Linked DNA regions of Rhinolophus ferrumequinum. The protein of the gene in region 1 purifies or fractionates together with the protein of each later gene. This does not show direct contact. Links are inferred from orthologs where the notes say so. Each region holds a gene or a part of one and is shown in the gene's direction. Other genes may lie near its edges. The genes, in order: IGF2BP3, HNRNPA2B1, FUS and G3BP2.

What was found.
Region 2: the proteins of IGF2BP3 (region 1) and HNRNPA2B1 purify together in Homo sapiens (affinity purification with mass spectrometry; 4 studies listed by BioGRID and IntAct, with this or other methods). This does not show direct contact. The link is inferred for Rhinolophus ferrumequinum from reciprocal best matches to the Homo sapiens genes IGF2BP3 and HNRNPA2B1.
Region 3: the proteins of IGF2BP3 (region 1) and FUS purify together in Homo sapiens (affinity purification with mass spectrometry; 3 studies listed by BioGRID and IntAct, with this or other methods). This does not show direct contact. The link is inferred for Rhinolophus ferrumequinum from reciprocal best matches to the Homo sapiens genes IGF2BP3 and FUS.
Region 4: the proteins of IGF2BP3 (region 1) and G3BP2 purify together in Homo sapiens (affinity purification with mass spectrometry; 3 studies listed by BioGRID and IntAct, with this or other methods). This does not show direct contact. The link is inferred for Rhinolophus ferrumequinum from reciprocal best matches to the Homo sapiens genes IGF2BP3 and G3BP2.

The regions. Positions count from the first base shown.
Region 1 is NC_046303.1:17,191,528-17,199,622, forward strand, and holds the start of IGF2BP3 (insulin-like growth factor 2 mRNA-binding protein 3), read left to right. Parts: upstream 1-5,018; 5' UTR 5,019-5,367; coding exon 5,368-5,542; intron 5,543-6,954; coding exon 6,955-7,015; intron 7,016-8,095. UniProt on the Homo sapiens protein: RNA-binding factor that may recruit target transcripts to cytoplasmic protein-RNA complexes (mRNPs). This transcript 'caging' into mRNPs allows mRNA transport and transient storage.
Region 2 is NC_046303.1:15,226,649-15,234,652, forward strand, and holds the start of HNRNPA2B1 (heterogeneous nuclear ribonucleoproteins A2/B1), read left to right. Parts: upstream 1-4,972; 5' UTR 4,973-5,184; coding exon 5,185-5,190; intron 5,191-7,874; coding exon 7,875-7,910; intron 7,911-8,004. Other genes in the region: CBX3 (chromobox protein homolog 3), read right to left, coding at 2,688-2,711. UniProt on the Homo sapiens protein: Heterogeneous nuclear ribonucleoprotein (hnRNP) that associates with nascent pre-mRNAs, packaging them into hnRNP particles.
Region 3 is NW_022680357.1:239,654-246,922, reverse strand, and holds the start of FUS (RNA-binding protein FUS), read left to right. Parts: upstream 1-4,161; 5' UTR 4,162-4,284; coding exon 4,285-4,297; intron 4,298-5,707; coding exon 5,708-5,732; intron 5,733-5,821; coding exon 5,822-5,973; intron 5,974-6,679; coding exon 6,680-6,824; intron 6,825-6,989; coding exon 6,990-7,177; intron 7,178-7,269. UniProt on the Homo sapiens protein: DNA/RNA-binding protein that plays a role in various cellular processes such as transcription regulation, RNA splicing, RNA transport, DNA repair and damage response. Binds to ssRNA containing the consensus sequence 5'-AGGUAA-3'.
Region 4 is NC_046288.1:32,119,038-32,126,793, reverse strand, and holds the start of G3BP2 (ras GTPase-activating protein-binding protein 2), read left to right. Parts: upstream 1-4,631; 5' UTR 4,632-4,789; intron 4,790-7,756. Other genes in the region: USO1 (general vesicular transport factor p115), read right to left, coding at 4,144-4,209.

The DNA.
Region 1 (8,095 bases):
TTTTGCTTAGATAATGAAAGAATTGGAAAGTCTGTTACGAAATTAAATATACCAAACAAATTTATACTTCCCTCTTTTCTGTCATGGTCAGAGTTCTGATCTTTATTTTTGAGAAGACCAATAGCAACTTATGTAGATAATTACAAACGTTGCAAAGACACCACTACCTGGAACACACCACTGTAGCTGTTAGCTTTTTCAGTTAGTGAAATTAAATATGATTATTCGTTTGTTTTGTGCTTCCCTAAGCCAAACTTGTATTTATTTTTTCTCACCGTCTCCACCAAATGTCCGTAAAATTAGAACATTTCAGCTACAGAAATCGCTAATCCTTCAAGGTCGGTCTCAGCTTCTTTGGTCTTAGGACAGCTTCAACGAAAATATTGGTCTCGGCATAGCTGATATTACCCGGAGTTTTTCGTTTGCTTTTTTTTGGAGGGGTTGTTTGGTTTTGCTTGTAACAATCCCGTGGACCACAAAGGGGGTTAGAAAAGGAGGGGGCTGAAAGAGTGGATTTCTCTAGAAGCCCAGGAAAATTCAGGCATCTAGAGACGTATTTTGCTGTTGTAATTTAAAAAGACGTATACATTCTAAGATGTTGGAAACGAAAGAAACGGTGTGACTTCAGCTACTTAGCATGGCGCAAACCCACGACCTCCGGGCGCTGGACGTTGGGGGAAGGGAAGGGAGTCTGCGGGCACCATGCGGTCAGCCCAAGGGGCGGGCTCCACACGCACACGCAGAACTATTTTCTACTCTTCCTTAGTCATCTCCCCTTTTCCTCTTTGGGGGTTGGGGGGCTCACAGTTAAAGGGCAGGAAAAATGAAAGCACTAAGAGGGGAACCCAACCTCAACCCTAAGCAACAACAGAACCAATGAGAGGGAGTAAAGGGTTATTTTCGCGCCACAAAAGATGGAAATCCAGGGGTGGCTAGCGGGCCAATGAATGGAAACCAGCAAACGGCTCCGGCGGAGGCAGCCGACGATGATAGGCTCCCTCCATCCACCAATCGGGTGAGAGTCGAAGACCCCCGCCCCCTCCCCAGCTAGGGGCGGTGTCTCTCTCCACGCCGGTTGCTCAACTTGGTTTCTGCGAATCGGCCCCCGTGCTGCACAAAACCCCGCCCCGGGGCCGCGTTTGCGCGCCCTGGGCGCCTGTCTCACTGTCCCGCCCCGCCCCGGGCAGAGGCGCTGGGTTCAGCGAGGGCTTCTTGCGGTCTTTTTCCTTGGGTACCAAACATTTCCCAGCGCAAGGGAGCCCCTCGCAAAGTCGAAACAGGCTGGGAGCCCGGGAGGTCTGCTAATCGCACGCTGCTTGATTCGCCCCCGCGGGCCACGGAGGAGGACCTCAGGTGGCGTCATACAGTGAGGGTAAAGATAGAGGCGCCCCCCGACCCCCAAGTCTAACCAGTCCACGCAGCTCCACGCGGACGGACAGAACCCGAAGCGGAGCCAGAAGGCGCCTGTCCCGCGGCAGAGCCAGGGCCGTGCAGTGTTCGAGGGCCTCCGAGGCTAGCCGGCGGCCGACGAAGGATCTTCCCCAGTGTGCGCTGCAAGGATCCCGCCCTCTTTCTCCCGGCAGAGCCAGGAGGAAAGGAAACAACCCCATCTTCTCATCTTCTGGGGCACCATTTTTTATTTTAAACAAAAATAACTGAAGGCAGGTTCAGAAGAGGGCAGAGCCAGGTTACTACTTATCACGCATCAGGTTTAAACATCAGAGCCCAGGAGAGCTGGTTGAAGGAGCAAGAATGATGTTAAAAATACGTCGTAGGAGGCCCAGGCGACGCGGCGAGCATTGCGTGCTCACCCGAGGACTTCGTCTCCCGCTTGTCCCCGAGGCAGCGGGAGTTAGGGGTAACAACGAGAATTTCCTTTCCCCCTCCTTTACCTGCTCAGCCTTCGGTCATTACCTGTGGATACCGCAACGGTAACCGACCTTCTAAAGAGCTTTTTTCTCCTTTAATATTACACTCACCCATAAACATTTTTATTGCCCTTCGGTCAGCAGATGAGGAGGTGCAGCTGTCCAAAGAGTAAACAGGCTGCAGTTGGAAAGACTCAGTCGCATCAGAGCACATACAATGGGTGGGAGTCCTTCGTGAAGTTAACATTAATTAGGAGCTGCAACTGTTTCAGGAAGAACTTGGAGTAGCCCATATACATAGTTAATTTCTTGTGGGAGATTCATTAAAAGATTGCGAGTTAGATTGACTTTATATTCATTTTTGAAAATCCACCAAAGTTATTTTTGCAGTTGAAATGCCAATAAAAAACAATTACCCATGCTCTTTTTACTCAGCCATTTAGTGTATACTTATCTCTCAGTGCTTGGAAGAATCGAAGTGGACTGTGTCCACCTCCCTTTTTGATGTGTGAGCTTATATAACTCGTGTATGTTTTTAAGGTCCTAGACGGAGTATCCAGTTTGTTACAATAATACACAGATTAAGTTCACAAGAGTCCTAGGAACATATTTCATCAAAACAGCACACACTTGTTTTAAATTCCAGCTGTTAGATTTGTTTGATAGTGACAGACAAGCATGGGCTAGTATTTATGGAAAATAAACAATTTATCCCATGCTTTGGAAGTAGATATTTCCTTTGGTCTCAGTTTTAATAGCAGCAAATTCAGTCAGCAATCCAGAAGGTACCATTCAACTGACTTTGGAAACAAGCTAAACATACAAAATTTGTTTTTATGAAAATCACTAAATGCTAAATTATCAGAAGACTCGTTTATAACATTTAAAGAAGTATTTAGAAAAACACAAATGAATGAAAAGCATATTTTTCCAAATAGTTTTTGAGCGCATGCAACAGGTCCATGAAAAATAAATTCACAATTTTTGATATTTTGAATACCACAGAAGTCATAAATACATATTTTTTTCTTTTTTAGAACCAAAGTTCTCTTTTTAAAAACATCAAAAGGAAACAAGCTCCTTTTAAAAGTTAAACCTAGCCATAAACTTAAATTTTCACCAAAATGTTCAAGATAGAGCTCACAAAACAATTCTAAACATTATACAAAAACACATTTGTCCTCTTTATCTGATAAAGTAAAAACATTTTCCTAAGTTAAACGTGAATGAAAATACTGTGAAAGTGAATTTACGTTTAAAAAGTTGGATTTGCTTGCCAGGAAAAAAACCTAGTAGAAAGAACAGTTGCATTTAAAATGGATGATCTGACACCTTCCGGTTCCTTAACACAAAATTACAAAATAAGTTTCTCTTAAAAGAAAAAAAACGTAAATACTATTTATATCATGTAATAATTCCCACATACTTAAAAAATCACCAATCATCTTTTTATTGGAAAATATACTTTTAAATGCCATGTACGGGTTTGACAAAGGGAAATTAACTATCAATTGTCATAATTACTTCAGCTATTTCAGTGTAAATCACAATAGTGTCTATTACACAACACATTTTCCTACTAGTAAGAGTACGAAGTGATTAAATAGTTTTGTATGTAATTCTATGCTATATAGAATTCCATTCACTTATTTAAAATAAGCATTTTGTTTTTCATGGAATACCTGTTAAAAATATACCACAAGTATCTGGTACAAGTGAAGCCTTTGAGTGGAGTAGACAATCATTAAACGACATTTGGAGATTTCCAGCACTGCGTTCATTTCCGTATTCCTCGTCTCCAGTCCACATTTTGTTGCCCAGGAAGGCTCCACCGGGCCCAGACCCTCCCCCTACACCCAGCATTGTACTCGTTACGTACAAGGGAAATTCTGAATGGTTCTCATGGCCAAATGCGGGCAGAAAAGAGGCAGAAAGAGACTCGAATAATTTTTCAAGTGCGAATAACACCTAGGGGTAACGCAGAGCGGTCTCTCTGTTTTAAGAGTCCCAAGTTCTCCAACTAAAATTATTTAAATGAAAGTACGAGCCTACCCCACTCCTCCTCCTCTGGAAACTACAGGAAGATATGGTTTCCGTTTAAATACCGACTTTTCCCACTCTGTCTTCTCTGCTCCGGCCTCCGGGGCCCCGGGACGCCCCTATCCCCACGCCAGAAACCGCCACCCTTGCGCTCCCCTCCCCCACTGTTGGCCAAGCCCGCCCCCGGCCTCATTTATCCCAGAGCCTTTTCTGAATCGCGCAACCAATGGCAATCGCGAAGCCGAGAGCCACTGCGAGCGCAGGCGGAGGCGGAGGAGGTGTCGCCCAGACACCCGCCCAGGACGCCGCGGGCTCCCATCCCCCACCGCCCAGGCTTGGGGGCCCCCCCCCCTTCCCCGGTGCCCCGGCCCGCGAAGGGTGCAGGGGTGGGGCGCCCCTGCCCGCCTCTCCCGCCCCTATCCACCCTACCCCCTCGCCGCGTTTCCGCCCCTGCCAGCTCTGGAAACGTGCTCGCGGCTTTGCCGAGGTTACACTTCTAATGTCATCCAAGCCACAAGGCGAGTTCGGAATTGTGACTCTTTGCTTTTGTTAATTACCTATTTTAAGAAATCGAATATTTAAAACTCCGGTAACTAGAGCTGAGGAATTGCCTAGTTAGTACCCACACCCCATCTCATTTAAAAAGGAAAAAAATCGATATTCCAACCCTACTCCCCTCCCCCTCAGGATCCGCCCCGACCGGATAACCCTTTCTAAACTCCGTGGTGACAATCAGCTCAAGCAGCCGCGCTCCCCTCGCTCGCCGGCTGCGGCTCCTTTAGCGTTTCCCCGGCTGCCTCCTCCCCTTTTCAGGGTCCCTCGCCCAATCTCCTTTCCCCTCCCCCTCTTCCTCTCGCTCGCTTTTTTTCCCCCGAAACCCACTCTAATTGAGGCGCTGGGATTCCTCACGTGAGACGTTGATTTGTAGTTTGAACACGTGGCTCATTCAAAAAGCCGGACACTCGGAGCGGATTTTTTCCGCCTCCTGCGCCTTCCTCCAACCCGATTCCCCTCCCTCCTGCCAGTCACTCTTGTGGGTTTTTTATGGGGAGGCGGCGCCTGCCCTCACGTAGTGTGATATTTTCACAGTCCTCCGGCCGAAGCTAAAGGGGTTGGGGAGGAAGAGACAAAAAGTAGTTTTCCCCCTCCTCCTTCTCTTCTCCTCCTTTTTCTCGCTAAGCCCGCCTCCTCCTCCGAGTTAGGAAGACTCGTTGATGCGTTTGGGTTCTAGCAAGGCTTTTCAATTTCTCTCTCTTTTTTTTAATACCTAGAAAAGGGAAAACAAGACTCCTCGGATCTGATTTTTCTGTCCTCGTTCTTATCCTTGGTTCTTACTGTGTTTGTGTTTTTAAACGGCGAGAAGACGAAGGGAACAAAACCCTCCGGGTCCATCCATCCCTGTGGGTGGTTTTAATTTTTCTTTTTTTCTCCTAATTCTTTTAAACAACCACTCTTCACAATGAACAAACTGTATATCGGAAACCTCAGCGAGAACGCCGTCCCCTCGGACCTGGAAAGTATCTTCAAGGACGCCAAGATCCCAGTGTCTGGCCCCTTCCTGGTGAAGACTGGCTACGCGTTCGTGGACTGTCCGGACGAGAGCTGGGCCCTCAAGGCCATCGAGGCGCTTTCAGGTGGGCCCCGGCCTGGCCCCGCCGGGCGCCTGCCCCAGCCCTGCGCCTCCGCCTGCCCGGGCCTGCCGGGGTTGAGGGCCCGGAGCCAGGCCCGCGGCTGCCGCCGGCTTGTTCACGCAGGGCTCCGGGCGAAGGCGCGGAGAGGGGCCGAGGCCCCGGCGCCACACGCGTGGGCTCCGGGGTGCTTCCTCAGCTGGGCTCCCACCCGGGCCCCCGTCGCTCCCCTCCCCCCGCCGGGGGTTTGCGGGCGCAGGGCGGACGCGCTGTCAAGAAAGCTCGGGCGCGGGCTCGGAGGAGGAGCGGGGGACCGTGGCGGGGCCCGGGGAGCGGCGCCAGCCGGCGCGGGACCCTCAGCGCTCGCCCCGCGCCCCGCCCGGGCCCAGGCGCGTGCTCGGGCTCCGGCACGCCGGGCCTCGGGGGCCGGCCGCGAACGCCTGCCTCTCCCTCCCTCCTTCCTCCCTCGCTCTGCTGCTTACTTATGGCATTGGAGTCGCTGCGCCGCTCCCGCCCCAGACCCCGGCAGTGGGGGAACGCGGAGTGGCCTCGACCCGGCTGCGGAGTGAGGCCCGCCGCGGGCTGGTGCTTCGCACCGGAGGCCCCGCGCTGCCTCTCCACACTGTGGGAGGCGGGTGAGTGCGACCTGGGTTCCATGCTCCGCCGTCCACGAGACAGGGGCAGGTGGACAGGGGCGGCCTGTGGTCGCTAGGTAGGGACCCGCTGTTCTCCGCACCCGGCCACCGGCTGCGGCCGCCGGGGGTTTCGGGACGCGATCTGCGAGGGCGGGGGACGGTGGGTAGGGGGGCAGCGGGCCCGGCCGCCCCCAGGGGAAGGCTGTGCTGGGGTCCCTCTGGGATCCCGGAGGCTTTCGGTGTGGTGGGCGCCGCGCTGTCCTTCGTGCGTTGTCCATTGGATACCGAAATGCACCTCCGGGCGTTCGCTCCTTCTGCACCCTCTCTACTGTCCTCGAGCCTTTTCCTCCGCTCCCTGTTCCCGGAGGGCCCGGGCGCCCCCTCCTGAAGAGAGCCAACACAGCCCCCTCTCCTAAGTTTGTCTTGTGTGTGTGTCCAGGGAGGTGGGCGGAGGGGCCGCGTCCATCCTGCGACTGTCGTGGGGTTGGGTGACCCCCCTCTGGTGGGCGGGGGAGCTCTGCCAGTGGGTAGACTGTGACTGAAGTAGCGGGGCCGCCAATCGACTCCCCTCCTCACCCATCTGTAAGTTACACACACAGCCGGGAGGGGGTCAGCTTCCCACCCGCGCGGTGCCGGGCTTCTCTCCCGGTCTTGAGTCGCGTCCGGATTCCGTTTGGGGGTCTCAGGAGGCCACTTGTGTCGCCGCTCAGAATGTGCAGGTCCTTTGGGCGCGGAGAGCCGCTAAACCCGGCCAACTGTCTTCCTCCTCTTGTGTGTCCGCAGGTAAAGTGGAACTGCACGGGAAACTCTTAGAAGTTGAGCATTCGGTCCCTAAAAGGCAAAGGTGAGCTCATTTATTCTGTTCTCGCCGATTCTGTTCTCATTCCAGTATTGGGAGGAAAGACTATCAACACAGCTGAAAACAACTTTTCCTCTTGTACTTATTGGGCGGCTGTATGGCGTGGCGTTTCTCGACTTTTTCTCTTGTATTTAAGTGTATGGCAGGTGTGTTTGCGTGGGTAATGCTGCAAAGGAAGAGAGGGCTTATGTGTGGCCTCTGCCACTGGAGTAGTGTTATTGGACTAAGTCTCTCGAGGAAGCTCTCCCATCTCAGTATTCTCTGGTAGAGGAGGGCAAGTTGCTTCATCAGGAAATCAGTCGGAGGGCAGTTTTTGGGAATCTGTAACTCTTGGGAAGCAATGGGTGACCCCTCCCCCACCACACCTATAAGTACAGGGTAGGCGAAAGCAGCTGTGGACACACACGAGTGTGTCCTGCCTTTCTTTCTCTGTCCTAAGCTGGCGGCGACCAGCCTGAGAGGCCAGCCCCAAGTCTGAGGGGAGAGGGAGTGCCTTTACCCTGTTAGCTGGCCAGCTGGGATTGGAACACGTGAGTGAACCTCTGGCCTTCTTCTGCCCAGAAGCGCCTTGCACGCACTCCGGAGGCAGACAGGTTTCTGCAAACCGGTCTTTGTCTCCCGCTTCTCTCCCCCATCCTTAAAAAAAATATTTTTGCTTACGAATTACCACCAAGAGATCGTGGAGACTAAAGATTTGTGCTACTTCAGCAAAGGGATTGCACTTTGCAGAGAGCATGTGTCGTGTGTCATTTTATAGAATGTTTGGAGGCTGTGTTTTAACCTCTAGAGTAATTGGGAGAAATGGCTCTTTTCTCAAGAGCAGGCCAGATCCCTGCTCTGTAACTCTAATTGGAAAGGTGCTGCACCCTCCCAGTGGTGCTAGGGCTGGCCTATGCCTTTCTGGGTTTCACAAGGTGGGGTTAAGGTTCCTGCCCTTTCCCTTCCCATCTCCCCACTCCTAACCTGGGCCAAACAATAACGGGGAAGTTAATTTAAACTAGGACTCTGTATGTCTGGTTAGGTATTGGTGGAGTGTGTGTGCTGAAGGGCAGGAGGGGTTTGCAG
Region 2 (8,004 bases), about 2.0 Mb from region 1:
CGAAAATAAGACCTAGCCAGACAATCAGCTCTAATGCATCTTTTGGAGCAACAATTAATATAAGACCCAGTCTTATTTTACTATAAGACCGTGTATAATATAATACCAGATCTTGTATTAATTTTTGCTCCAAAAGACGCATTAGAGCTGATTGTCCGGCTAGGTCTTATTTTCGGGGAAAAACGGTAGAGAAAAGATTAAGTAGCAGTGACAGGTCTTACTAAGTGAATCTTAGACGTGTCAAAACTATAGCTCCCAAACACTAAGACCCACTTTGGCAATTCAAACACTAATGTTAAAAGCCACAATACAGAAAAATAGGTAACCGCCAATAATTGAAAAACATAGTTCAGAATCCTATATAGCAGGGCCAACCAGAGAGACCATGAATAGGTTATTTTTCCATAATTTCTGTTGATAACATTACTGACCACTTAGTACAAAGCTATAATGCTGTCATTTCAAGAGGCCAAAAATGCTACATCAGTTTAACTCTGTAGGAAAAAAAAAACAACCTTTCTTGGTTTCTCAAGAAGTCTAAACTGATAGCCAACAAAATTCACTTTAAAAAAGTTTTAGCTTTTTCAATTTTTTTTAAGTGTAACACCATTTGAGAGAAGCAGGACACCAAGCTCAACCTGCTATTTTCCAATAACACAAACAGATTTGTTACCAGAAGACTGAAAATGGATAAATTAAAACAACAAACAAACTGGTCAATTAGAAGAGACAAAGGTGGGAGGGAATCCCAAATGTTACGCTCATTTTATAATCATTTAAAACAGGTGCTATTAAATCTTAATTGCCTAGTCACTAAAGTCATCCCTCAATATAGTATGCAAGTAGAAAAATGTAACGGCAATTACAAAATATTGCAAAAGGACATTAAAACTATGTAGTCATTTAGAGGTACACACACATATAAGAACTGAAAATCCTCTGGAATTTAAAAAAACGCAAACATTTTATTTTGTTGGATACTATCTTTAAGTCAGGCCTTACAATTTTCATTAGTCAAGATACTTGGGTACTGCAACCAGTCCGAGAGCTTTCTGCTTCTCTACAGTACAGGAAGGTAAGAATAGTGGGAAGAGTGAATGAAGAAATACTGGTGTGGACAAGTGCTTACTGGATACTGATCCTAAATAATAAAACAAAATAGCTATGTCCATGAAAGTAAGAGATTAACAGAATAAAGAGGATGATAAAAACACAGAAAATGAAAAGGATAAACCCTGATAAAAAATTGGCATTAAAAAATGAAGTACTATGATGGTACTCACAAACTAGTTTCAAGCACTTTTTTTCTTTTTAAAGGAAAATTCACCCACTTTCCCCTTTAAGTTATAGCACACTTTATCTCATAACATTAATAACTTTAAAATGAAGATTAAAATACTTGTGTGCAAAAAGAATTTAATTTTAACAGAAGCACCTATTTACTTTCTGTATCTACATTCATTCTCAAAGCATTAAAAAGAGCATATTCCCTTCCCGTCCAATATTTGGGCACAGTTGATCAGAAAGCCAATTCAATTATGTACACTTTGGTTTACTGATTATGGAAATTCGAAGGACAGTTCAAACCTGAAGGGGCATAGAAGATGCTTTGTGCTTTTTCTATTGATGGTTTTGATGGGAATCATTTGTGCCATAGAGACTCACCAGCAAGGCTTTATATTTCATTTCGATGTTTCCCAGGATATTTCATTTAGATGTGCAATCTATTGATAGCACAAATTAAAAATCACCAAGTTGTCCTTTTTGGTGTGAAATACAAGGGGAGAATATACACAAACCAAAATCAAATGTTTTGCTTGATTTAGATGTTAACACTCACCTTCATATAATTGCAATTATTAACAACACAATGTGTTAGAAGTAAATACTGTGGGAACCATGCCTTTGAATTTCGTGATTTTTATATAAACACTCCAGTGACTTTTAAAAAACTTTTAACTTGATGTGGCTGAATATACGTATGTCTTTACACATTTACAGAACTTTCAATGAAGTCTAAGAATGCAAACTTTGGGTTTAAGAAACTAGAGAGAAAAAATGTTAACTGCTCAGAAGTTTCAATAGATCTACTCTCCTTCCTGGACATATGTGCAATTTTGTTCATTTTGTGTATCAAAAAAACACTGCAATGATTTAAATTTAAGGCCCTTTTGTATTTTTAGAATGAGCAAGTTTGAAATATGATAAAGTGACCAAAGTAATTTGATTCAGTGACTTTGCCCCATTTAAGTGTACAAGGTACATGCTCAATTAAATTGGCCAATACTGAAAATACTTTATTTCCCTAGAATTCAGTATGGTGAGGCAGATAATTATGCCAATCAACAAGGGCTTTGCTGCTTTGTCTATGCTTGCAACATATTTTTTATGTTATATAAATTTGTGCATTTTTACTTCAAGATATACTTGGTGACGCTCATACTGTGCTCTTCTTCCAACACTAGGTTCCTTTAATTGAATTAAGACACTATTAAGCCAAGCCAATAAGTATCTCAATGTAATGATTTCATTTTTGTCCCTAGTTTTCCCCATAACATTGAGGAGAGAATGGACTGCAGAATATATAAATGGATGTAAATTTCTCAATCACCGACATGCAAAGTTATAATTTTTGGGGAAAAAATTTGAGTTAGACCCTTACACATTTGAGGTTTTTGTTAACTTACCAATGTAGTTTTATTGGAGGCCATTTTTTATTGCAGACTTGAAGAGCTACTGCTAAAAAAATGCATGACAATTAAAAGAAAGTTTGCATGATACAAAAAGGTAACTAAAGTTTTGTTTGGATTCCAACCCCCACCTATGTAGCCCATATTATCAAACTTATACTGTACAAATCCAAGTAAGATTTGAGTTCCTACCTAAGTTATTAGTGATATATGCCTGAGAGTATATCAGTGTTCTAACCAAGTGGGCCTTGAAAACCTTACTAGGAACACTGGACTCTGAGACACCCTTACAGGGCAAAAATTAGTAGACAGGTATTCTTCCAGTCCACATCCCATTTCTACCATATTCAGCATTTCTTTAAAAATGGCCAAATATCTTGGTTCAAAATCAGACACAATTACTCCATGAAAATGGTAAACTACCGTGAATTTTTCCTCTAGACCTCTTAACAGTCTTAAGAATCGACTAGGTAATCCCAACTTGGTCTCTTCTTGGAAACCCTCCCTCTTTCCAGTCAGTACTTAAAAAACTAAAGGAAAAAACACAGCAAGATGCTTCAGTCCCATTTTGTGCCACTTTGAAAAACAAATCACCTCTTCTGTCCGTCCATCTGTTCCCGCTAGCCCCAGACCCCGCCCCCCACACGGGAGCTAAGGCCTCGTGGTCAGCGCATCCGCGGGGAGAAACAAAGGCCGCGGCGCGGGGGTTCAAGGGCACTGCGCCACGGGGCCCGCGCCTACTCCCGCCCCGCGGCGGCCACGTAACGGAGCGCCCGCCGCAGCCTCCGGACTGCGGGCCGCGCGCAGGCAGTCGGGCCACGCAGATGCGGGAAAATGCACAGCCCTCCCGGGAGGCCCCCGCCTCCAACCAGGCCGGGAGGGGGGAGAAGGGCCTCTCATCTAGATCGGGGATGGGGGAGGGGAGGAAATACGCTTTGTCTAGAAATAAGGCGGCTGTCGCCACAGCTCTTTACCCTGTCAAAGACAGTCTCATCTCCCCCAACAAACTACAGGCGCCGGGCCAACGCCAGGCCCGCGGCGGGGTCTTCGCTCGCCTGTTTCTTTCCCCCCAGCTCACGCCTCGGGGGTCGGGTGGGGAAGGGTGAGAGCGGGAAACGGGGTGGGGGAGGGTCTCTGTGGCGCATTTTAAGCACCACCTCCGAGTGAACGCTAGAGAGAAAGAAAAACACCGACTTCACCGCCTCGGAGGTGCTCCGGGTCTCGCGTCTGCAGCGTCTCCGGCCCTGCGCGCCTTCAGCTCGAGCCACATCCGAGGGGGAGGGGGGCCGGGAAGCTGCGCGCGGGGCCGCGGCCGCGGGAGTGGGGGGGTTGGCACCGCCCACGCCGGGCGGGCACGAGGGGCGGAGCGGGCGGGAGCGCGCCCGGCGTGGGGGAGGGGCTGGAGGTCGCGCTGTGCCCGCCGGGAGCCCGAGCACAGACCAGTGGGGAGGGGGGCGGCGATAGTGGCATTTACCTTTCGCCGGGTGGCGCTTGGTGGTCCCCGGAGGGGAGGGAGAGGAAAGGAGGGGCGAGGGTGGTGGCCAGAGTTTTATCGGCGGAGGCGTTTCACCTTCGCAGCAGCAGCGCTGGCGCCAAAACCAGGCTCCGCCTACTTCCTCGCTTTTCGGGGTGGGTGCCTCCAAACGATGCGAAGGGGTGAAGAAAAACATAGCTGGGGGACAATCGGGAACTAATGAGTGCCCATTTCGGCCCACCCTCTCTGAAAACCTCTCCTAAACCCGAGTGCTGGACACCAAAAAATGTTAGCCAGGGTTATGTTGATGGAGCGTCAAGTGTAATTTGTGGACTAGAAGTCGCTTTGCGTGTTCCCGGAAGGGGCCGAGTCAGGCCTCAGCGCAGGGGGAGGGGTAGGGGAGGAAAATCGCAGGGGGAGGCTACAAAGATTTTTATGGAGGGAGATTGCGAGGTGGGGGAGATTATCAAAATCAGTATTACAGGGAGCACTTCCCGGGTTGAGGAGGCTGGACCTCTTGGCTGTGGATTACGCTCCACCCGACATCGTTAATTTCAAATTGCGTGACCGTTTCTCACCTGCCCTGCGCTAAGGCAGGGGCTGGACCCAATTCCGAGAGAGGAAAATACGCAGGACTCGAGCCTTCCGCAATTCACAGATCACATTTACGCAAGTGACGTCAAGCACTACCGTTTGCCGTAAGGGAGGGAGGTGTACGTAATTGGCGTAAAAGGGGCCTAGAGCTTTCTCGCTATTGGCGGCGGTTAGGACGTTTACGCAACGGCCTGACGTAAAGGCGCGTTAGTTGGGGGGAAGGTTCTAGAAAAGCGGCGGCAGGGGCTCTAGCGCCAGTAGCAGCAGCGCCGGCTTGCCGTGCGGAGGTGCTCCTAGCGGTGTTGTTTCTCCAGCCGCGGCAGTTTTCACTACAGCGCCAGGACGAGTCCGGTTCGTGTTCGACCGCGGAGATCTCTCTCATCTCGCTCGGCTGCGGGAAATCGAGCTGAAGCGACTGAGTCCGCGATGGAGGTAACGGGTTTGAAATCAATGAGTTAATTGGAAAGGGCATGGCGAGGCCGTTGGAGCCTCAGTGGAAGTCGGCCACCCGCCTCGTGGGAGAGCGGCAGTGAAATTGGGCCACTTCACAAGCGGTTGTTCTGGGGATATTTTTGAAGAGGTAATTTTGGCGTAGGCCTGTTCAGCACTTTCCCCACCCTCAGCCGCCCGGCGCCATTTCCCTTTGCTGGGGGTGGGGGATGGGGATCTTCCACATGGCGGATGCAGCCTCATTTTAGTGAATGTGGGGCGCGGAGGCAGGGATTCTTATTTACTTTTTAAAGCGGGCTTATTTGGGGGTCCCCACGTCCTCGAGTGCGAGCGTTTCGGCGGGCTTTGGGTCCTCGGGAGCGAGGCTGCGGAGCTTCCCCTCCCCCTCTCCTGGGAACCGGATTTGGCGGCCGCCATTTTCATTTCTCTCCTTCCTCGCCGCGTTTTTCTTTAAACTGTTTGAAGTCTCCTAGTTTGATTCTTTTATCAAAGAATAGAAGTGGTTAACCGTTTTTATTTCTTCCCGGCCTGATTTCACGCCGTTTTGAGGTGGATTCCGAGTGCTTTGTGAGCTTGGATCTTTAAAGCTCTGCGCACCTCATTAGAGGCTCTCCTTTCCCCTCGATGAAATGGCGCCATTGCGTTCAGAAGCCACAGCGAAGAGCGCGCGCGCGCGGGCTGGGGGGTGGGGGGGGCGACTTCAGGGTTGGTTCGCACCGCTTAAGAGAAGGTAAAGCGACCTCTGTGGTTTGGGGCCCCGTTTTAAGGCGAGCTCCAGAGTACACAAAACATTTTGTTTTACAGCCCTTATTTCCTTGAGTAACGGTTTTAATCTGGGTCAGCCGTGGCTCAAAGGCAGTTGTCTCGCAGAAAACGAGAAATAAATGAAAATCGGACCTATCAGACTAGTACTGAGTATGTGGGCGGCAATGGGGAAGGGAATGATTCGTTTCAGAATCCTGTATTTTCCTGAAGGATTCCCTCTAATTTACGGGACTTTTTCGTATTAAAATAATACTTTAACTAGAAAATATAGTTTTTATTGGTTAAGACCACGGGTCCTTATAAATGATTAGCGAGGAATTATGAGGAAAGTGAAATAAAAATGATTTTATTCTTAGGTTCTGTTTAAAACCCGACTCAGTCTTTCGGTGCGTGTATTGCTTGCTATACAAGACTTTAGGTTGGGGCCACTATGTATTTGAACTTTGTCACTTGATATTCTCGTGTTGGCAATTACGGTTCATTACATTGGCAAACATAAGGGCCCAAGCAAAGGGGGTCTACCAGGGTATTTTCTTTGACCCTAAGCATGCTTATAAAATAACTTTGTAATCGATAGTGGACATCGGGTAAGTTTGGGAAAAAAATGAGGTAAGTAAATGAGTTTTTTGCCTTTTAGTGATTGGTAGAAACTGTCGCAGATGTACTTTTTTAAACTAGTTGGGTTTTGAAAGACCTATTTATTAACAATACAGTATTTAGAATAAGGTTAAGAATCCAAAATACCAATATGCCAAATAACGATTTTAATAGATTGTTATTTAACTCTATCAGGAGCTGGTTTGATAATCTTTTAAAATTTTTAGGTTCCTGAACACAGTAAACATGCAGAAAAAACTCTGAATTGCTTATCACTGTATTTTTTTGAGTTGGGACAATATGCTTGGAGGGAGAAACGTTCATAGAACTGGGTTGAGAGCTGTGATGCTCTTTGCTAGTAATAAAATACTTACTGTTGTAGTGGAAATTACACTTTATGTTTCAGTTTATATTATGTATTCGTAGCAGTTGGTCCTCAACATTGCATTTATTCTGGTTTCTGAATATTTAAAATTTTTTTTAATCTAGTCACCTGAAAACTACCTTAACTGATAGCTCGGAAACATAGGACTGTTAATGCAGCTTATTTGCTGGTTTATGGGGATTAAAAGATTTCAGCTCAGGCATATTTTCTTTTTCCTTGTAAAATTAGAGACATTCTGTGTAGTTTGCGGGGTGGCCACTAAGTTCAATTCACATGGCCCTTGGTTTTTTTTCAAATGAGTGAGTGAAATGTAAATGGAGGTATGGTATAGATAAGCTTTAGTTGGTCATAAAAACTGGTCTTGGTCAGAAGAATGGTAAAAATGACGTATATTTTGCTACATGTATTGAACATTTTAATTTTAAGTTTTTGCCCCAAGTGGTGGTGAATAGTTGGTATATGGGAAAAGAATGATTCTTGCTAGGTTTTTGATTGCGATGTATTAGAATCTCCACCAGAGGGAGCAATGAAGGGAACGTAAATCTGTCACTTTTCAGAAACTAAATTCTGAAATGGTAAATTATGGGATGTAAGGAACCAGCAATTTTTATATTAAAAAATATTCAAACTGGGCATTTAAAAGTTAACTTTTCTGTTCTAGGATATAGGATTGAATGCAACTTCTGATGACTACTTAACCCTTCAATGACCAGAGAAGAGATTTGCTCCTTTCTCTTAAGAAAGCTTTTTAAATTAAGTGATATTAAATTGATTTGAAATGTCAAGTAAATTTAGATCAAGCATTAATGACTGAAACGTGTGTAGTTCAGATGAAGCAGTTTTTTTTTTTTTGGTGTAACACTAATATGCAGTTTAACATATGGTTTAAATTTGATGTAAGTTTTTTTTTTCCCTCCAGAAAACTTTAGAAACTGTTCCTTTGGAGAGGAAAAAGGTACTCTGCCAGCAGGTCACCTTACATTTAAGAATTTAATTTCCTGCATACGAAGAGAAAATGTAAATAAAAATTGAAATGGTGTTTTCCTTTG
Region 3 (7,269 bases), on another chromosome or scaffold:
GGTTGGATCCGTTGATAGCTACAACCTTTCTTATCAATGGTCTTAAGTTTCTGATCACTAAAGCCTTGGTTAGGTTAGTACATGAACTGTCTGGGGTCCGACAGGCTATCCCCACTCAGCTCATGGAAGAAATGGTGAGGCGTTCTGATCCTCTTCTGCTAGGGACCATTCTGCAGAGGGCTAGATCTGGGGAGAGTCAAATACAGCTGGGGATCTCCAACTTGATTTCTACCTTACTTCTGGGTTGATTTTTTTTTTTAATTGGAGAATATTGGGGAACAGTGTGTTTCTCCAGGGACCATCAGCTCCACGTCATTGTCCTTCAATCTAGTTGTGGAGGGCACAGCTCAGCTCCAAGTCCAGTTACCGTCTTCAATCTTAGTTGCAGGGGCACAGCATCCCATGCGGAATTGAACTGGCAACCTGTTAAGAGCTCGTGCTCTAACCAACTGAGCCATCCGGCCGCCCCTGGGTTGATTTTTATGATAGACCATAGCTTAATGGCTTGAATCCTAGTTCAGGAGTTGGCAAATGATGGCCCTAGGGCCAACTCCAGCCATCAGCCTGTTTTTGAAGTAAAGTTTTATTGGACCACAGACACTCCCATTCATTTACCTATTGTCTATGTCTGCTTTTGAGATATGAAGGCAGAGCTGAGGACTTGCCACTGAGACCTTTAAAAAGCCTAAAGTAGGGGGTGGCCGGTTAGCTCAGGTGGTTAGAGCGTGGTGCTCTTAACAATAAGGTTGCCGGTTCGATCCCCTCATGGGCCACTGTGAGCTGCGCCCTCCACAACAAGATTGAAACAACTACTTGACTTGGAGCTGATGGGTCCTGGAAAAACACACTTAAAATAAATAAAGTTAAAAAACAACACACCCTAAAGTATTTACCATCTCCCCATTAAAACAGAAAAGTTTAATGACCCTTTTCCTAGATGGTCAAACTGTGGCCCTGATTCTCATTTAAAACTATTTTATAAAGCTAAATGTAAATGATTTCTAAAGATCGTCAGTGAAGAAACAAAGATCATCGAAGTTTAAAAAAAGAAAAAGGCTGACGGTACTTGACAGTCAAAGGAACTCATCAGTGAAGAGGCATTCACTGGCAGGGTTGCTGAGAGTGAGAAGTCAAGAGAGGTTTGAGTATTAGGAAGGGATTGTCAGGGTCATATGCTAATTAACAACGAAAAACTAACACTTGGGATGGATGGGAATGAATTCATAGGTCTGACCCAATTGGTTAAAACAGAGTCCCATTGCTCATTGGCCAGGAAGGAGTCTTCGTTAGGTCCAATAAGGGTCCGGCATCCAGTGAGTCACTCAAAGGCCACACCTGTTTATTAGCTTCAGCTGGTCAGAACCAGTTGTGATGAAATACAGTATTCAGTTTGAGTATCTTTCAGGCAAGTGTTGCTATAAATGGAATCTTCCCTTTTAAGAGATACACCCTAATTACGTTTCTGGCCTATTTCAATACACTATTTGTATGGCTAGTGTGAGAACAGACCAAAACAAAAATGAGAAGGAGATTGCGATAGCCATTCCTCTCCTTTCTTGCTAACTGAACCCCAGTGTTCTTTAGCATTGGGTGTACGGGGTCACCATAACATACTTGAACAACAGTATGTACAGGATGGCCCGAGCCCTCAGTTTTCAAGAAAAGACAGAAGCGTGGAGTTTGCCCTATTCTATGTTTTGGCAACTCGTTACAAAAATTAAAAACAACGTTAGGCTACACAGAACCTGTCTGCAGCTGCATCTCACAGCAGGCCCACAGCTGGGGTCTTGGGTCTCAGAGGAGCTGCGAAGAAGGCTGAAGACAGAACCCTGGAGGGTGAGTAAAGGCAGAGAACGAAGGGGCAGGAGATAGAATGACGGTGGGAAAGGTGGGAGGGTCGGGAGAGGGGTGTCCTTCGTGTAAAGAGACTTTTAAGGAGAAGTAAGAGGCCCCGTGTTCTGTGACTCAGAGAGACGAGTCCGGAGAAACCTACCTCCTGGAGGTCACAGTTTGAGCCTATTTCTCCCTGCCACTCTGCCCACGAGTGCCCTTCCTCACCCATGGCTTTGTCTCTGCCATTCCTTCTGTCAGTTACACCCTTTCCTTTCACTGCTGGTGAACTCCTACTTATCCTGGGAGGCCTGGCTTCAGTGTTACCACCTCTCTTTCATCTTCTGTCCTTGGGTGTCTACCTGATGGATGACTCGCTTTCCCTATAGTGTCTGGAGTCCTTGATTCTATGTCACAGCACATTTAATTTGAGTACACTTTGGTGTCTCTGGGTCTCACCCACATCTCAGCCACGGGTTATAAGGTGCTGTGGTTCCAGGACTGACCCATTTTTATGCTTTGTACATATCACACAGTGCTCAAGAGATGTTTGTTGAAGCACAGGGGTTAAGAGCAGGAACTCTGAGACAGGCTGCCTGGGTTGGGAACTTGGCTTTGCCACTTTTTCTGGGTCGCCCTGGGCATAGCTTTTGACCTTTCTGTGCCTAGGCTGCTCATCTGTAAAAATGTATTCCTCCACCAACTTTTATTGTGAATAAGATCGAACAAGCTATACTCAAAGCACTCAGAATGGTGCCTGATACTTAGCAAGCTTTATGAAATTGTTATGCTCTTATAAACGTTACACATTTAATATATAAACACTATTATGGTTAAATGTTAGTTTGTTGTTAAATTACTTCATCTGTTTTGTGCATCCTCAGTGCCCAGAACACTTAATATTTGTAGAATTAACGAATGAATGAGTGATGGATTTCCCTTTGCCCTTACTCCAGAGTCACACTGCCCTCTCAATGCGGGTAGGGGTGGGGGACAGGGCCATCAGGGCCTAAATCGGGGTTAGCAGCAGTTTGTGGGCAGGCCTAGGGCGTAGCCCTCAATTGTTTCTCCGGGAAAACACGTCCAACCTACAAAGGAACTCTGGAACCGAGGTCACAGGTATGTAGGGAAGGACAATCTGTGTGCCTGTGAACCAGGAATGACTTCCTTGGTGGTGTTTTATTCCATACGTTCAAATCTCCCGTTCCAGGCAAGTTACAGGTTACTTCGACCGTCGCGTTTTGTCCTTGCTTTCCCAGGGAGTGGACAGACTTCAGGGCCCCGCAAAGGGTTCACGTCACCAACGAGAGGCGAGTTTTGCAGCCACACAGACTTGGGGTCGAATGAGAACCCCTGACCTTTCGCTGCACTTGGCCTCTGAGCCTCGCTTTCCTTCCCTATCAAATGGGCACAGCTTTACTTGCTTCCCAAGATCGTGATGGGGAAAAAAAAAAAAACCATTAACTGTGCACTTGAGCCCTATACAAACATGTCACTACTGGATGTCCACAGTGGTGCTTGGTAGGGCTTCGGGAAAATAAAGAGAAGCTCCTTATCAGTAAAAGACTGAGAGACCCCTCATCTCATCTCTAAACTGAGGTCCCGCGGGTTTGGGGGGGCGATGAGCGCGGCGTCAGGCGACGCTGCATGCTGTCCTGCAGCTGAAACGTCACAATCCACACACCCTGGCAAGGACGAAGGAAACGCGACTCTGCAAGAGGGGGGGGTGGGGGGGTTGTGTGGGGGGGGGGGGGGGGGGGGGGGGGTGGGGGTGGGGGGGGGGGGGGGGGGGGGGGGGGGTTGGGGGGGGGGGGGGGGGGGGGGGGGGGGGGGGGTGCGGGGTGGGGGGGGGGGGGGGGCGGGGGTGTTTCAGGGAAGACACAAACGTCCTTTCAAGAGCCGGGGAGGATGGCGCCCGAGCTACGAGGCGTCTTGGTGCAGTGCAAGGGGAGTGCAGCGTAGGGGCGCGTCGTCCCCAGTGAAAGTGGGGCCCAGGGAAACGGGCCCGCCCGAGAAATTTCGGTTCCGCCCTGCGGTTCCAGGCTTTGACTACAGTTCCGTCCGCCGATGCCCTGGGCCCCCCCTCGTCCCGCCCCCAGAGGGTAATCAGACCGTACCATTATTTTAGGGGGGTAGAGATCATTGTGGGCCAGTCCTGCAGAGCGAATCGGAGTTTTTTGTTAGAAAACACATGGTTCTACATACTATTGGAAGCCTCTTAGTCGACGTGCTTCCCTTCTGTCGGCTCAGCCGTCTATGTTCACCGTAGAGCGGGAGGCGGCCGCTCGGACTCCCCCCCTTACTTTCACCTTTGGAACATTCCTCCGCGGTACGTAGGCGGGGAAGCGTACATAAACGTCGACGCAGGCGGCGGGGCTGCTCAGTCCTCTAGGCGTCGGTGCTCCGTAGTGTCGGGATCTCGCTGCGTGTCGGCCCGTGCGCGCGTGCGCCGACATGGCCTCAAACGGTATGTGAGGGCGCGAGGCGGCAGGGGCGCGCCGACGGGGGGCCTCGTTCCCGCCCAGCGGCGGTTTTGTGGGTCGGGGAGACCGGGCGGCGGTCGCGTAGAGGAGCGTCTCGTACCGCGGTGGCGGGAAACGGCGGCGGAGGGTGGAAGGGGGAGGCCGATGTCGCCATCTTGTTTCGCCGCTCTGGCGCCTGGCGCGGGGCGGGAGGGCCTCCCTTCGCAGCCCCGTTACGAAGCCCCACGACGGTGAGCCCGTGTAAGAGGGAAGCCCCTGGGCGGTTGGAAACGCGGGACGCGGATGGACACGCGCGGCGTCCGTGGCCGTTCCCCCCGGGTCCCCGGCCCGGCCGTGGGGCCCGCTTTGTCGCAGTGCTGCATCCGGGCACTCGGCGGGCGCACGCGCTCTGCTGGCCCCTCCCCCCTCGCTCGTGGCGCGAACCCCCCCGCCCCCGCCCCGTGTCGGGCGGCTTTCTGTCGCGAGACCCTCGGCGGGAGACGCGGCGGGGCGCGTCCGGTGTGGGCCCCGCCCCCGGGGTCCCTCGGGAAGGGGCGGGACCTCCCCGTTCCCGCCTCGGGTGCCACGCGGCCGGGGGCGGTGGCTCGGGGTTCGGGCCGCGCACCCGTTTCCCGGAGGCGGGGTGCCTGGAGGTCGTCCGAGGGGAGTGGGGCCCGGGCCCCCGCGTTTTCCCGCCTGAATTTCCTCTTTCCGCGGTGGGAACGGGAAGGAGCGGCCACACCCTCCCCCGGTCTTTTGGCCCGTCCCTGCGGGGAAGCCCCTCGTTTACGGCGCCGTGGGGAGCGGGGGTCTGGCCGGTGCGTCTTCGTTGGGGGCGCTTCGCCCCCTCTGGAAGCCTCGGGGAGGGCGGGGCGGTGAGAAAACGGGTTCCGGGGAGCCTCAGCCCCGGGGCTCGAGAGCCGGTGACCTCGTCTCCCGAGACCAGCGCCTCGATGACGCCCGGGGTCCCCCCTCGGGTGTCTAGCTTTGCGCTGAAAGGCCGCTTCCCCAGCCTCGCAGACCAGGGGGGGCGGACAGTAGAAGGCGGCCCGCTCCGGGGGCGGTTTTGTGTTCTGGCTGGAGCACGGAGCCACATCCGGAGCAGCGCTGCCTCCTGCCTCCGGCCTGCGTTCAAGGCCGTCCCGCTGCGGCGGCTCCGACCTTAGCTTGTGTAGCTCGACCCTCGGCCGGGCCTTCCTCCCAGAGCGGTGGTGGAAACCAGACGTGTGTGAGTGCGTGTGGTTTCCGATGCCGGTTGAATTTGCGGGCCGGGAACGGTGGGTGTCCGCCGAGACTTGGTGTTGCCGGTGGGTGTTGCGGCCTCTTAGTCTTCGTAGCAATGCGCCTTTTCTTTGCTTTGTGCTCTCCTCTCGTAGGGACAGGCGAAGGTGACATGATTGTTTTTTCTTTTGCAGACTATACCCAACAAGCAACCCAAAGGTGAGTGTATTTTCTGGGCGTCCAGAGGTTGCGGAGGGCCAGGGTTGCTAAGGTAGGTTTCCTGATTGCACCGGTTTTCTTTGCTCCAGCTATGGGGCCTACCCCACCCAGCCTGGACAGGGCTATTCCCAGCAGAGCAATCAGCCCTACGGACAGCAGAGTTACGGTGGTTACAGCCAGTCAGCGGACACTTCCGGCTATGGCCAGAGCAGCTACGGCTCCTACGGACAGACCCAGAACAGTGAGTCTCTTTTTAGTGGGCCACCCCGCCTCTTCCTGCTCTTTCTGAATGTTGCTTTTCTTAAACCTAAGCTGAAGTGTTAACTGTCACATGTTTCTTTGTCCCTCATCCAGTCTATAACCCTTGGCATCTGAGTCCTTTCAAACCAAACGCTTATGGGCTTGTTTCTTTTCATTTTTGGCTTTTTACTTTTCTATTTGTGTTGCATGAAGGTGAAATGTGGGGAAAGTATTCACTAAAGGGAGCAAGTTGTAGGCTTTTAATACTTAACAGGAAGGACATGATTTGCCTGAAGATGTTTGAAGTCAGACTGTTATCATGTGCTACCTAGAGCGGTGGAGTTTGCCCTGAGGTCCTGCAGTGTAGAGAATGTGGGTTGTCCTATTTTATACTGCACAGCTGAGTAGGTTGAAGTGCTGTTAACGAGTGGGGCCTCTGGGGCTGTGCTTACTGGTGGTCCTGGAGACGGGCTTTGGGATGAAGGCGTTGAGATTGGAATTCTGAAGCTGGTGGAAGTTGGAACATGAGCCTTAGCATAGAAGAGAAGGGTAACTCCTTTGTCTATGAGTTGCAAGATTTCTAAACAGGTTCTAAGAGGCGACTTTTCAAGTAGAGCATTAGGTAACATGTAATGCTTTCTTCAGTTCATTCTGTGCCTTTCTCTTTCCTTGTAGCTTTTATGACTTCCTTTCTCTTTTCCACGTAGCAGGCTATAGCACTCAGTCAGCTCCCCAGGGCTATGGCTCAGCGGGTGGCTATGGCGGCAGCCAGAGTTCTCAGTCGTCCTACGGGCAGCAGTCTTCCTACCCTGGCTATGGCCAGCAGCCAGCTCCTAGCAACACGTCGGGAAGGTAAGGCGTTGTGGGGGGAGGCCAGAAACAGGAGGGCTGAATCTATAAGGGGCACTTAGGAGGGGTAGCGGGGGTGTCTGTTGAGGTCAGAGTTCAGAGAATGGGATGTACAAAGTGAAAGCAAGTTTTGGACATGCTGGCATTTTTCTTTTTCCTCTTCCATAGTTACGGTAGCGGTTCTCAGAGCAGCAGCTATGGGCAGCCCCAGAGTGGAGGCTATGGGCCCCAGTCTGGCTATGGCAGCCAACAGCAAGGCTACGGACAGCAGCCAAGCTCCTATAATCCCCCTCAGGGCTACGGACAACAGAACCAGTACAACAGCAGCAGCGGAGGGGGTGGTGGAGGCGGGGGAGGTGAGCAGGTGTCTTCAGTTCTGTCTCATACCTGTTTTCTGGAAGGATTTGTGTTTTGTTTGGCCCTTACCCTAAAAGGCTTCTTAAAATTG
Region 4 (7,756 bases), on another chromosome or scaffold:
TTTTGTTTTGTTTTTGATCATCACACAGCACCCTTCTTCAGTAACAAAATTCTTTCAAGTACCTCCACTTGAAAGAATTCTCTGGAACATACTTTGATAACGCCAGGCTATGTAAAATGTAAATGATACTAGTTTTTTTTACAACCACCCTAAGTAATCTAATACACTTTCAAAAAAGCCATGTAATTTTCAACAGACGTTACTTAATAAGAATACAAAAGACATGTTGGGTTGGATATAGAAGTAATCAAATACAAATTATTATTATGTTTTTTTCTGACATTGTTATTGCAAGAGCCAAGAGAGAAAACACATACCAGTTGGGACACTGACCTGATTATTAATGTACAATATGAAACATAAACCCAAACAGGAGTTTCAGACTACACATTTATAGTAACGTGTTATCAAATGTGCTTGACCAAACCAAAACTATGTCTAAATTTAAGTGCACACTCATTTTTTATTAAAAGAAAGTACAGCTGTGTCTATATTCTTAGCCGTTTTGTTTTTAAGCCAGCTGATCAAAGTTTGATCTAAAAAGAGATACCTTACAGTATGCTACTTCTGCACACTTTGTGTGGACTTTCGTCAACTTTCATGCCTTGGGATACAACTTATGAAAGGAAAACCTACACTTATCATCAAATGTAGTCAACACTTCTCTTGGGATTTTCAATAAACTAGCTTTAAAAAAGGAAAAAGGTATTAGCTGGAAGGTAGATGGAAAATTAAGCCTGTATAAGTATTCAGAAGAATGAGTAGGGTTTTTTACTATAATTAGTGTTTATTTGCACCCAGAAAAGTATGTGAAGGATTAAGAGACTACAATCATCAGAAGTCAGTGCCTTTCTCTATCTAAAAGAGAAATCAAATTAAAACTTATTTGACTCTAAAATATGAAAAGTTTAATGTGGACGAAATTTTAGAATAAAATATTCAGAACTTTATAGAATTATTGACTAGCATGACACAAATGCAGATATTTAGTACTTTGTCTCTGAAGAACATCTTAATATCAGTCTAAAGTTACTTTTAACTGAGAGTATGAAAAGCTAAGTACTATACAATCAATAATATAACTCTCATATTTAGAAGGTATACAGTAAATCTGAAAAATTCCTTAAGTAAAACGTTTGACATAATAGACTTCAACCATTCCAAAACTGTGATTCTTAATCTTTAAAAAGTATTGTTGGGGTGGCCAGTTAGCTCAGTTGGTTAGAATGTGGTGCTAATAACACCAAGGTTGCTGGTTCAATCCCAGCATGGGCCACTGTGAGCTGCGCCCTCGTTTAAAAAAAAAAAAAAAGAAAAAAAAAGTATTGTTTTAGCATCTAGTAATTTATAAGCTGTTATGATTACCGATCTGTGATTTCTTTCATTTATCACTATAATGAATTCATTTAATAAATATTTACTGAGTATCTTACCATGGAAAAATAAAGATTAAAATACATATGAACAAAGACAAAACAAAAATAAAGAAAGAAAAAATAAATAAATAAATAAATAAAAAAAGAGAAAAACAAAAAAATAACAAGACAAAAAAATACGTATGAAACCTGCCCTAAAGACTTAAGAGTCTAGAAGAGATGAGACATATATAAAAGGTAGAAAGCCTAAGAAATACACAATCTTCTTGAATGTGAAGATTGCTCAGAGGGTAAGAGATTACCTACAATTTGGTGAGAGAAAGAAGTATAAGATTACTGAATGCATTGATGCTGAATTTGAAGAACAGGTAGACGTTAGACAAAGAAAAGAGGCTTTCCACTGGAAAAAAATGAGAAAAACATGAAAAATGGAAAAATCGCTATGAAAATAATTTAATTTTGCAGAAATAAAAGCAAAAATCCTAGAAATACTAAATGACAATGCATAAGTTAGAGGCTCCAAACTACGGCAACTTGAATATGCAGGCCAGATCAAATTACCAATTAAAACTAATATTGTACCACACACTCTGATGCTCTATAAAGTTCTAAATTAGTGAGCCATGACCCCTTATACCCATTATACCTCCTGATGGAATGAGATGGTGAAACAAATTTTATTCATTCTGTACCTCAGAATAAACTATTAATTCTCTTCCAAAGACAAACTATTTTTCCAGTGTTGAGTGTATATACTCAAAGTTAGGCAAGAACAAGAATACTCACTTTCCTTTCTGTTTATATATACAACATACACAAGTGATATTCAAGCTTCATTTTGAAATCATGATATAAAAACTAAGTTGTTCTATTCACTATGGCAAGATCAAAGTGTTCTAGTCTCAGCTCCACAATACTGTACACGTTGTTTTAAGTGCTCTGTGCCTCAGTTTCTTAACTTGTAAAACAAGGGGGTTCAACCTGGATGAGCTGCAAAGGGCCTCCTAGCTTTAAAACCCTATACTCAATTAATTGTATGCCACTTTTCTGCAGAAGTCATTGTGACAAGGCCAATTATAAAAAAAAAAAAGATTATTCTTTCCCTAAATACATGCAATAAAAAACCTTATTGAGCAAATACTAAGTGCTAGGTTCTTTCTATTTTTTATTTCACCTAATCCTCATTACACCCATAACAGCAGACAGTTTCTTTAATTTATTGTTTGGGTATTAGATTAGCCATCTTTGATCAGTCCAATCCAATCAGGGGTGGATTCAAATCAAGATCTAACTCCAAAACAAGTTCTAGTAAACCACACTTTAAAACTTGGTGCTCCACACAAAAAGCTATCAGACAACAAAACAAAACAAAACAAAAGCTGAAGAGGTGGGCTATGACTATAGTAATCTAGAGAGAGCATGGTCCTCTAATAGGGCAGCTCAGTTGCCTTGTATCCCTGTGGGAACCAACAAGAGAAGCCAAATATTAGGTGTGTTTGGGTGTAATCTCATTTTCAAATGAAGGAAAACAGATTCACCAGCTTTCAACTTCTGCTTTAAACAGTTCTAACCCAGATCTGTGAGATTACTTTTAATATTATTTAACTCTCCAAAATTCCCAGATATATATTAAAACATGGGCATCAGCAATAAGGCTTAGGCTTTGAAGTAAGGCAAACCTTGGTGGAAATCTGGCTCTATTATAACACTAGTAGTGTGACTTCGGTCAAGTTACTTTACCTCTTTCAGCCTCATTTGTAAAGTGAGGACACTATCACCTATCTTGCAGGGTGATTAGGGATTAAAGGAGAATGTGGACTACAAAGAGCTCAGCACAGCACCTAGCACAAGGTACGCGCTTGACAATAAAAGTTATTTCCAAAGTTCACGTTTAAAATGTCATATCTGTCACTTTTCTGTAGATCTAAAATTATTTTCAAATAAGTTTATTTAAAAAAAATCATACTCAGTTCTAATAGACACTAACCACATTTCAAAGTCAGTTTATCCTCAAATTGAACCAACTACCAGACTGTTTTCTGTGGCCAACAAGTTTTTTAAAGTGACGCTGTAAATCGTGTTACCAAATCAGGGGTTCAGACTTCTGAACGGCGTGAGTGGAAGGGAGAGCGGGGAATGTGTCCCTAAAGCGGTTTAAGCGCGAAACATCCCTACAACGTCCAGGTATTTCCCAAATGGCATATATTTTGAGTCCGAAACACGGGGTCTGATCTAGTAACACCTGGTAGAACGACCTTCCTCCAGCTGATGGGACAGGAGCAGGTGGCTTTCTGCCCCAAACTATCTTTTTATTCTTAGCCACATGCTCTCTTTAACAGCTGGGTTTTAAACCCAGTCTTCCCCAATTCCCCATTCCAGACCTCGAGAGAGGGAGCAAGGACTTCAGGCTCCTCTCGGCCAGTGGAGACACCGGCGAAAAGCAAGGAGGGAGAGGCCCGCGGCCTCGAGGGGCGTGTAAGATAGGTCGTGCCACCTCTGCCCTGGATCGATCCCTTCCCGGCGGTACCACCCACCGACCATCCTCCCGCGGCTGCTGTCCGCAGGGCCGAGCCGCCGCGGTGGGGGGCTGCGCTGGGGGCGTAAGGGAATAACTCGGGGGTTTCAGGAGAAGGGAGGCAAAAGGGGAGGCGGCATGTGGATCCCCGGCCCACCGTGGGGCGCGGGAGGTGACCTCCGGGACCCCGAGTCCTCCGTCCCCGTTCCTGCCCGGACCCTTCCCAAGTCCCAGATCCGCTGCTCCTCTCACCGTCTCGGCTTCTGTGTGCTGGGGTCCGGCACTCTGACCCCCCATCACCCCGCGAAGGAAATTCATCTTGCCGCTCAGCCACCGGCTCTACCAGCCACTTCAGAAAAGAAAACTTCCCCTGTCCTCCGCAGGGCCTGGCCCCAGACCAGCAAGCACTCTACGATCCCCGGGCACCGCCACCGCCGCCTCCTACTCGGCGGCCGCTCCAGCCCCCTGAGCCCGGAAACAGCGGCCACCAGCAGTCGAAATGCGCATGTGCGGGGGACGTGGCATTACGTGGCGGCTCGAAGGGCGAAGGCAAAGGGGTAAAGTAGGCGAAACAAGGCCGAGAGCACGGGTCCTCCCAAGCCCCGCCCACTACTCAGGCACCGCCTCCCTCCGCAGGCACCGCCTCCCTCCGCAGGGACCGCCTCCCTCCGCAGGGACACGCCTCCTACTCCCGCCCTTCGCAGGTCGCTGGGGCTGGCCCCAGCCACCCACGTGGTCGAAGCCCGGCCCTGCGGGCTGGAGAGCATCCCGACAGTGTACGTGTTTTGGCTTGCAGCGTGTTCAGTTGTTGCGGAGCGGGACGCACTGCAAGCTATCGTACCGGAGAGTCGAATTTTGTTGAGTCGAAACTGAAATTGTCCTTAGGCCGACGTGACAGGTAAGGGGTCCTGACCCTTGGCAGGGTTGGTTTGGTTTTTTGGTTTAGCAGTCCGAGCGCTGTGGCCTTCTGATCCCCGTAAATTGCATTTCTTTACAGGGCTTTGTTTGGTAGTAAAGAGGGTGCTAGAGCCCCCTCATTCTACTTCCACGGGAGGGCGCATTTCTCAGATCTTGCTCTTCAAACCTGCGAAAAGGAATTCCTAGATCTAAACACCAGGTACACCGCTATTTTTAAGTGGTGTGAGGAGAAAACCAAGCGAACCCTGCATTTAGCTTACTAGGGAAAATACATTGCTCTGCAGTGTCAGTTTGACAGCTAGTAGCATAATGTTTTGTTACTAACTTTCAATCTCTGCATTTTCAGCGGGTTTTCTTAGCATGAAAAATGTCCTTTTTTCATATCTGTATGCCTTGTTCGTTTCAGAATGAGTTGTCAGGTACACGTGCATGTGGAGTAGTCTTGTAAATTTCTTGAGTCTAAAAAGTGTACGGCCCAGTTACCCAACTGATTCATACACCTCCCCACTTAAATGTCCCACGGGTCTCAGATTCCCCAGCCTCCCTATAAAAAAAAAAAAATTCAGTATGCTTCCTATGCACAGTACCGCTAGCCAAATAATTGCCTAAACTAGAAGTAGAAAGCAGGAAAGACTTTTAAACTCTGGATTTCATCCCCGTATGTCTACTAGTCAAGTCCTATCATGTCTATTTATAGAATATAGTATTTCTCAAATAGGTCCTCAGCTTTCCCTCCTCTGTGCCTCTGAGATAATTTATGTTCTCATCATTTTTCACCAAGCTTATAGTAATAGTTTCCTAACTAGTTTGTCAGTATTCAAGCTCTGATTTCCCTCCATTCCTGTCTCCAGTCCACCCTTGGATGAGCCTTGCATCAGCAAATCATCTGCATGACAGTCCTCTTCTTAAAATCCTCCAGTGATAAAGTCCAAACTCCATAGTTTGGTATACAGGCCCATCATGTTCTGACTTCTGCCTATCTGTCCAGCTCCTCCTTCACATACTCTGGATATATGCCCTACCTCTCCTTCTTCATCAAGGAAACACCTGCTAGTTCCTTAAGACTTAACACTGGCATCTTCTGAAAACTTTCCCTGAAATACACACACACACACGCACACACACACACTAGTGCTTTTCAGTTAATATATGTGGTAAACTCTCAGTAAATGCTTGTTAAGTCAAACTGTTGAGGGCAGAATTATGTTACCCATTTTTGTACGTCTGTTGTTTAGCACTCTCATGAGAGGTGGTATTGATGCATAAATGAAGAAAACATTAAAGGATATATGAACATTATGCTGTGGAGGAGGGTCCTTTTTCCATCTCTAAGGTGAAATTGTGGATAATACATACTATCACAAAGGCTATGGTGAAAGTTCCTTTGCTAGTGCCAATGTTTTAAGCCTGGGTGTCTTGGATAATAGTGGGGATCATACTGCCAAAAATACTGTGCACTAAGCATTGTCCTCTGCTTTAAAACGAGACACTTGACATTTTGCATCAGACATTTTCCATGGGGGCATTTTGTTGCAGCCTAAAAAAAGTAACCAATAAATGCTCAGCTTTTTTATCACCAAGTAATGTGTGCAAAGAACTTGACCCAGTCCCTAAGCCTCACCCCTCCCTGAGCCTCTCCTCACCTCTATGTGCTTCACTCCACCCCATCATTAGGGATAAAGCTCTGAAATGCAGTGGGGCTCATGGATGTTTACATATATTATTTGGTAATAGAAAAAACAGTATCTTGACGTTTTAGCAAAATTGTTTTAATGCACTGGCCTGTTTTAAATGCCCGGCTTGGTTTTAAATTTTGGTGAGTATAGTAAGTCACTGTGAGTTTTCCCTTCATTTGACCTGTTTTCTTCCCGAATAGCATCCACTGGGCAGGAAGGACAATGGGCAGGAGGGATGGATATTTGGGTGCAGAGGAGCTGAAGGTTGAATCCCCATACTTCCCCCTGACCTTGCCTGTCTTGCCCTTCTGGTGTCTGGGAAAGGGTGGAGCAGCCTATTCTAGGCTCAAGAGAGGGTACAGTGGCTGATTTGTCTCTCAGTTGGGGTCTAAAAGGGGAGCAGAGGCATCATCACTATGGAACAGCCATGAAATAGACTCCTTATTTAAGAAAAAAGGGCCTCCATGTGAATGCACTTCTGCTGATTTTATAGAGAAAAGTCAGGGACCATGTCCTGTTCCTATTTGTACTCTAATCATCTAGCGTAATTCCTTTAACATGATAGATGGTCAAGAACCATTTCTTAAGTAAAGATAGAGAAAACATGAAAAAACTGTGACTGTCTGACTTAGGCCATTGTACTTCTGACTTTCATAAATCTAAACACTTACCGTGTTTCCCCGAAAATAAGACCTAACCGGAAAATGAGCCCCCGCATGATTTTTCAGGATGACATCCCCTGAACATAAGCCCTACTGCCTCTTTGGAGCAAAAATTAATGTGAGACCCCATCTTATTTTCGGGGTAACACAGTAGAATAAATGCCATGAATCATTAAAATACACATAATCCAAAATTTTAACTGGGGTAAATAAAAATGGTTTTTCTTTTCCTAAACCAAACCTGACAACAGAACAACTAACAAAATTCATTGGTTTGAAATCTGTTTTTAAAATTGTTTCCTTACAATCCTCTAGTTCAGTGGCTTTCTTTAGTGGCCTACTTTCCCTATGCTTTCTTACTTTCTAGTGGCAAACTCAACAATAACAATGAAAGATCATTGCACAGGATGGTTTTTGGTTGGGAGTGGGGTGGGTTTGTGGAGTATTGTCTGTACCTGCTTAGGAGGACAAATGGAGGTGATAATTTATGTTTAAAATACATCACATACAGGTTTTTAAAGACTAGTTATTGGAAAATAGGTGTCCAAAAATATCGTTGATACAATTATACATTACTATCCATTAACCAAACAACACACAGCAAAATAA